Daphnia pulex: one gene and its partner. The protein of the gene in region 2 interacts with the protein of the main gene of each other region in a biochemical or structural test. Links are inferred from orthologs where the notes say so. Each region holds a gene or a part of one and is shown on either strand. Other genes may lie near its edges.

Evidence for each region.
Region 1: the proteins of DDB1- and CUL4-associated factor 11-like (region 2) and histone RNA hairpin-binding protein-like form a complex in vitro, tested with the Homo sapiens proteins (2 studies listed by BioGRID, with this or other methods). The link is inferred for Daphnia pulex from reciprocal best matches to the Homo sapiens genes DCAF11 and SLBP.

The regions. Positions count from the first base shown.
Region 1 is NC_060020.1:3,614,682-3,618,376, forward strand, and holds histone RNA hairpin-binding protein-like, read left to right. Parts: upstream 1-1,007; 5' UTR 1,008-1,844; coding exon 1,845-1,960; intron 1,961-2,034; coding exon 2,035-2,370; intron 2,371-2,438; coding exon 2,439-2,667; 3' UTR 2,668-2,902; downstream 2,903-3,695. Other genes in the region: lysine-specific demethylase 6A-like, read right to left, coding at 1-29, 92-239, 301-367, 429-517; uncharacterized protein LOC124192277, read right to left, coding at 2,917-3,237, 3,308-3,448, 3,519-3,695. UniProt on the Homo sapiens protein: RNA-binding protein involved in the histone pre-mRNA processing.
Region 2 is NC_060025.1:8,379,492-8,383,418, reverse strand, and holds the start of DDB1- and CUL4-associated factor 11-like, read right to left. Parts: upstream 2,396-3,927; 5' UTR 2,288-2,395; intron 2,233-2,287; 5' UTR 2,230-2,232; coding exon 1,906-2,229; intron 1,843-1,905; coding exon 1,581-1,842; intron 1,516-1,580; coding exon 1,369-1,515; intron 1,303-1,368; coding exon 1,121-1,302; intron 1,058-1,120; coding exon 819-1,057; intron 753-818; coding exon 649-752; intron 586-648; coding exon 430-585; intron 363-429; coding exon 256-362; intron 192-255; coding exon 1-191. Other genes in the region: glutamate [NMDA] receptor subunit 1-like, read right to left, coding at 3,033-3,267, 3,347-3,498, 3,558-3,680, 3,744-3,927. UniProt on the Homo sapiens protein: May function as a substrate receptor for CUL4-DDB1 E3 ubiquitin-protein ligase complex.

The DNA of each region.
Region 1 (3,695 bases), on a different chromosome or scaffold from region 2:
AGAGCGGAATTTCTGGTAGGCTGACATTGCTGCATGGAAATGAAAAGTTGGCATACAGAGAATTACAATGCAGTAATTGAACAAAATAAACCTTTTGGGTAGTCTTCAATGAGAATGTTAAAATGGCCCAATTTGCAGTAGGTTTTTGGATCAATATTGATTCCCTTCTCTGGGCTATCTGATTCATTTTTTAGCTGTTGGTGAGCTTGACTCAGCATCCGTTCCAAATACTGAATTGCCTATAATTCATCATAGTTGAGATTTTTCAATTACAAAGAATATGAACTTAATCTTACAAACCTTCACTACTAAAACTTTCTTTGCAGCATGTTCAGGATTGTTGAGTTGCAGGAAACCATACTGACGGCTGAAACAAAGTAACGGTGTGAAAAAAACAACACAGATTTTTTTAATACAATGCAATATACCTATCAAGTTCTGATAAAATTTGAAGCTCCTGTGGAGTCAAGTTGATATCTACAGTATCTTTATCTTGTTGCGTTTGTGTCATCTTCATTGACAACCTCGAAATCGGGCAAGGGTAATTCAATCCAAATTTTCAAAACGAAACGCCTATCGTTAGCGTCGATCGGTGAGCAAATGAGCTACAACTTGAAGAAAAGTTCTTCGATTTTTATCCACAAAATATTAACTCCTTTCCATCAGATAAAAACTTTTGGCATCAATCTTGATTTAAAACACAAAAATATCATCATAGTTTTTATAAAAAGTTATTATTTTTTTTTGCAATGACAGCCAAAACAGACACAAGCCTAATGCAGGGTTGCCTCTGTATAAAGTGTAAAAGTGTAATTTCTAAAATTGAACATCCTTATTCATTTAGGATTTGTTTGGTGCATTCGTTCAAACTGGATAGTTAATTTTTTAAATGGAAGTACTATTTTTTTATTGGGTATAGGTTATATTTCTTGATAATTTAAGATGCTGTGGCACTTGTGGAGTTGTGGGTGGTTGTGGCCTTGTATGTATGCTGCATGATATGGGAATTTGAGATATTCTAATTTCTAATTTCCGACGGGTTATCGTTTCAAATGCCTTTTTGCTCGTGCGGCTTGATTATAAATCTAATTAAAAGTATAATTATCTTAGATGTACATGTATAATCTTGCCTAACTATAAGGTGTTGAGAAATGAGAAGTGATGGATATGTAGTTATGTATACTTGTTTTTTGTACCCTAGTTCGGGCGAGCTCCCGGCTCCGGGAATAAGTCTCATCCGGCCGTATGATCTTTCGTTGACCTTGCGAATATTAGAAATGCGAAATGCCTATTTTTAAGCAATAGAGACTGCTTTCTTATCGTCTTTAACATCTACCAGGGTTTTAATTTCAGATGTTTTGCAAGGAAACTTAGCAACATTTTGGAAGTCCATGGCCTTATTAACCTGGCCACAGATAAAGACCACGTCGTCTTTATCTATGACCTGGCCTTATGGGAGTTATGGCCATGGATGGACATTTTGTAAAATAAAAATAACACTAGAAATGGATCGGGGATTCGGGGTTATAGATGTATTTAAAATATTTATAAACTTATTCTGGTTATATTAGCACTATGTTAGCACTCTGGCTGGCATGCAGCTGAATGGAGCTGGTTAGCAACGCAGTTTGTAATCCATGTTTAATGTGGTTAGAAGTTGCTTCTAATTCAAATGGCGCGAGAAAACCCACCCCCCGCTTTATTTTCACCCGAGGCCGAGACAACAAAGTCAACAACTACGTGAACTGAATCACTGTTTGCTCTTTTAGAGTGTAAAAAGTAAAAACATTGTATTTTGTTGGGTTTTAATACTTATTTTTCTATAAGAAATTACTGAGCTTACAATGAGTCCAAGAAAAGCTGTTAAAACAGAAAAAAATTCTGATGGTGAAGAAACTGTGTCTGAAAAGACTCATCCTAGCACTCGTATGCTACGAAAACGCGAATGGGATTCTGCCAGGTATAAATGCTTGCTCATTAAATAAATTATCAGTTCCTGAAGAAACTAACCATATTTATTTTTTGTGGCTAAAGCATTATAAGTCCAGAGAGGGGTCCAGCTCAGAGGAAAGAAATCAAACGAGAAAACATGCAATTGAAGCGCTCTCTGACAACTTCTTATGCCCAAACAGAAAAGAAAAATTTGATTAAGACAGAAAAACAGTCATCTTCTGCTTTGGCGGAGTTAAAAACTGCAGTCAAAGATGAGAAAACTGAGGTTGAGGTTGAAGACACAAGTGACAGGAGCTCAACTATTTCCTCCAATGGTGAAGTTGAAGAAGATCCCCTAGTTCTGTCTCGAAGACAGAAACAAATTGATTATGGGAAGAATACCATTGCCTATGACAATTATCTCAAAACTGTACCCAAGTCAGTATTTTAAAGTTACATGTGCAAATCCAAACATTTCATACTAAACTTACAGAAATTTTCCATAGAAATAAAAGAACCAAGGAACACCCCCAAACCCCTAACAAGTACAAAAAGTACAGCCGAAGGGGCTGGGATGGATCCATTAAAGTGTGGAGGAAAATGTTGCATGTCTTTGACACATCTGATGCCAGTAACCCAAAGGAGAAAGAAAATGCAGCTGCTGCAGATAAAGATGTCGAAGACGTCCTTGATTACCTCCCTTTCGACCTAATCGACGACGACGTTGTTTTATAAACATGTTGTCTACACTCTTCATCATCGAATTTTATGTGAAATCTTGCGCCCGTTTATATTGCACTATTAAGAGTGACAAGCAGGTCTTAGTGTTAATTACTTTTGACAACTTCTTTTTTTTTTTTCTTAAGTTCGGCTGCCTAAAGAGCCTCTAATTCTTCGATAATTTTGTTCAACGATCTTCACCGTCTGTACCGTGAAATATGCACCTAATTAAACATGTTCGTCATATGCATTAGCATGTACCATTTATTTGTTACTTGTTTTCAGGTCTAATAGCATTGAGATCATTTTTGAATTGTCTTCCTCCATTCGTTTCTCTAGGCGGCCAAGTCGTTCCTCAATTCTGGCCATCATGCGTTCTTCCATCTCCTTAATTTTCTTGTCTATTATCATCTCGATACTGTCAACATTTTTCCCATCTTGATTGAATCCTTGCATTATTGAGGACAGCAAATGATTAGCGCCAGCAGATTGCCCCGAGAGAGATCGCATTGAAGGGGTAGCTTCCACCGTCACTGCAGAGATCCCATACACCCATACAGTTGTTGCTTCCTTTAGTTTGCAAAACTAAATAAGATGGGGGATATTTAAAATGGATTCAGACAACCTGGCAACCATAGTGTGAAATAGGAACAACCTTCAGAATTATTTCTGACTGCATCTTCTTCAGATCTATTCTGCATTCATACAAAGAAGTGCCTTCTACTTCTTCCAGAAGTTCCCCTCTCACTGTCATCAGATATTCTTCATACTGCCCATGTACTTCTATCATGGGAACCTTGAATTAATTAATTAATCAAAAGAATAATTTGGCAACAGATAAAAAGGAAGATAGATCTGGGCAATACCTCAGATAAAATTTGAAGGGCAGCAAATTTTCTGTTGTTTTTAAGAATAATTTTTAGTGTACAGGGGCCAGAGTCAGGATTCGATTGACTCATATTAAAGCAATTTTCAATACTAGTTTCCTCAGACAATTCAGACAATTGTTCCTTCCACAAAATTTTTGTTCGAACAGCATCAAC
Region 2 (3,927 bases):
CTCCTACGCACTTCGCGATCACCTCCGCCATCAGCCGCGTCGTCATCTCGATATGAGCGGCGCTGCCTCTGCATCCAATTAGGATTGGAATCGTTGGATTCGCTGTCGGTAATGTACTCTTCCGTGTCCAAATCCATTTCGTCCTCGGAATCGGCTGAGGAATGGAACCACTTGAAGTGTCGGCCGTCCCACTATTACCCCGGTTGATTAAACTTTGGGAATTCATAGAGAAAAATTAGAAATAATATTTCATACCGCTGAATCGATAATATCCATGGAGTATGGATGCCAAGAGACGTCCCGAACACATTCAGAATGACCAGTCAGAATCGCTGCAGGCTTTCCAGTCAGGACATCATAAACTAAAATTGCAAATATTTAAAAATTAAATTGGTTTAGATTGATAATACTAGGTTATTGGGGTCTCACTGAAAATTTTTCCAGCTGCACAACCACTGTAAATATATCGTTGCCCAGTGCTAAATGCTGGACTGAAACGGCATCGGATTAAAGTTCTTAAGACACTGTGTCCGCGGTATGTCATCAAACTAGTATCACCGGCGATCTTGTTTTTGGGAGAAGCCACTGCCAAAGAATAATAATTCAGTTGAGATTTTAAACATAAACAATAACAAAAAGTTAACTTACGCCTCCACGGAACGTTTTGGAAACTATAATCCCAACTTTGGGCGTTCATAAGCATTCTAGTCTTTTGTTGAACTTCGTTTCCTGAGAATTTGCGCATGTCCCATCTAATTAATCGCACATTTTTTAAATGTTTTTTTTTTTACGATAGATAAAACAAGTATTGAGATTACAGCTTGATGGATTGGTCCTTGCTATTTGTAATCAAATGTCTGCCATCTCCACGCGAGTCGACGAACGTAAGTCCGTCAACATGGCCACCAAGAATGCCCACCGGTTTAGCCTCTCCGTTTTCCGCCAACGTTCGACGATCCCAAACTTTGCATAATCCATCATCCGCTCCAGAAAATAGGATCTGCGAAGTTTCGTCAGCATAGGCCACAGTATTCACGTCCTCTTCGTGGGCATCAATCTAAACAAGATGGGAGGTTAATTAAGGACTGTTGGTGGGTACGAAACAAAATAGTAATTTTACCCTGAGCGTTCTCTGTCGTTTTTCGCAATCGTAAATGTACAAACAGCCGTCATTGGCACCACCCAATACTTCATTTCCGTCTTGAGAAAAAGTAAGGCTGAAAATACAAAACCGTCGGAGTTCCGGGGAAAGTGGGAGAACTTCATGTCTTTCCACCTCATCGTAAATGTTACAAAGGTGGACTGAAAATGGAACCAAACGCATTAACAACATTTTTACTAAGTCGAATTATGTTTCAAGGTACTTACTGGCTTCCGACCAACTAGAATAAATGATGGAACGTCCATCAGGACTGAACGCTGTGTCTAGAATACTCCATCCGACATCTCGGGCGGGGATTTTCCTTATGCAATCAAATCCGCCTTTTGATGTGTCAAACACACGGATAACTCGATCTATGAATTTGAAGAAAAGCAAAGATTAAATCTTTTCTTGCGCAACACAAAGTCAATTGTAATACCTTGTGAAGCGCTGAGGAAAATATTGCCATCTTTAGAATATGTCCCGCAAAACATTTTGTGATTGCAGTTGGCAACTTGTTTGAATTTGTTAGGCAAATAGTTGTGGCCAATATAGCTCCTGTCTCCACCAGAAAAATGCCCTGTACCCTTCATCCCTACTTGACGCTGGTACAGTAGTGATGTCACACGAGTGGAATGGGATTTGCAACCGTGCTTGTAGATTCCTGATGATAGAGATGTTGATAAGTACAAATCAGTCCCCTAGAGAAAAACTGGTATTAAAAAGAGGTACCTTCTTGTTATGTCTAAACAAACTCATTTTACCTCAAGAACAGTTAAATCAGGTGTGCTGTCAACAGGGGGTGGTTGGGCATTTGGAAGGAAATCAAAGAAAGACTCGTTTCTTTCTTCAAATACTGAGTTTCTTTCTGAAAGAATGTGAGCTCGGCCACTGTGGTTTCCCAGAAAGGGAAAGAATTGTTGAATATTAAGATGATCTGCAAGCCACTCTACTATCATGAAGGGATAACTAACTAACCTCCTGATGAGCTGGGTAAGAACTGTGGCTATGTCGGTATCAGAATCTTCGTCCGACATCGATGAAGTATCTCTGTTACTGCTGTCTCTGTCTTCATCGTCAGAGTTCATTTTCTGTTGGGACAATTAAATCAGTAAACGTATAACGTGCTGTGATTCGGCTTCTTACTTGAAGGTAGATTGTTGTCTCACCGTTTATTCAATAACAAAGTTAGTTAACCCGATAAAAAATGTCACGCAACTAGGCAGACGACAGCAAATGTTTGATAAAAAGCTTTACGCAAACGACATCTAGTGTTGAAATTCTAAACCTTTGAGAAAAAATTACCGCCAAAATTTGAAATTGAGCCTTTTCTTCCTCATTTTCTTTTTCTCTGATAAAAACCAACGCATGAACCAAATTCATACCAACCAAATTTTTCAGGATTGCAATCAAGTGATTTTCGTTGTCATATCTTAGAAGCTAGGCCTTTTATTACGATTTCAAAATTATTTCCATTACAATTACTGAATTACGACGATAACTTGAGCTTCACGTGTAATAAACTTTATCCTGTCTTTCCTCATTACCTACCGACCTACCGTTGGGCAGCATTAAATTTGCCTCTTTTAGTCACTGTAGCAACCAATAAAATTTCTTGAGACAATCAAACTTTTAAACAAATGTGTATTCTAGCAAATCAACTGCTAGTTAGTTAATTCGTATCAGGAGTTACAAGACTAAGCTAAAAACGTTCGCATGCCCCAGGAGGAGAAGTAAAAACGGATTAAAATTCGGTAAAGGTTGTTTAAGACGTATATATAAATATATAAAAGAGGATATTATTAGACGAAAAGACTATTATTAGAAACTACACAACGTGCCCTATTGATGTAGTGCAGCACATACCTGCTGCAATAAATGCTTAAATTAACTAAAGCCTCTCTCGACGTAATGTTGATAGGATTATTTCCAGTAAGAAACTCAGCGTCGCCAATCCAATACCGATAGCAAGGATAAAGAAAGCGCTAATTAAGTCCGACAGTTGAATGGGGACTACGCGGGTGACTCCACGTTTCGTATCGGCAAAACACTGTTTCGCCTTGGGAGTAGAATGAATATTATTAATCCATAAACGGACAAGTCCACTCTCCCACAGTTCCATAAGTCTGTAAATATATTAGGATTGAAATAAATAAATAAAAAATCAAGATGTAAAAATTTAGGGTGTTTAAAATGGTTACATACCCTTTGTCCATATCTTTAGTAAACAAACTTCCTTTTTTAAAAAACAAAGACGTAAATCCAATGGAAACGGGCAAAAGTTTCGATAATTTAAAGCGACACATCCCGTCTTTCTCATATTGAGAACAGACAAAGGCATAGCATAAAGAGTGCAGCTAATGAAACAGAAAAGTTCAAAAATTGATCATGTTAATCTCTGTCTTTATACACTTACATAAGGATAAGCGTAGCGTCCAGTTTCCAGTGTTGCGGTCAACTTGAAAGGATTGTCAACTATTTGATTAGGATTACGTCGGGCTTCATCCCCAAGAACCTTATAAATACCGGATGTCGCCTTCTAGTGAATCCAGGAACAGCTTATGAGGATTTGATTTAGAAAATAAAGGAGAAATGACCTCACCAGGATCTGATTTCCGATCGTCGTATCACTTCGCAGAACTATACCAACTTCTTCGCTTGCGGCCAAGTCTTCAAATGAGTTTATGGTCGGTTTCATCTTTGGCGTTGTGAGTGAAGATGTGACGATTCCAGTGTAACAATTGACCAAAACCATAGCGCACAAAACCCAAACTCCAGTCAGGACC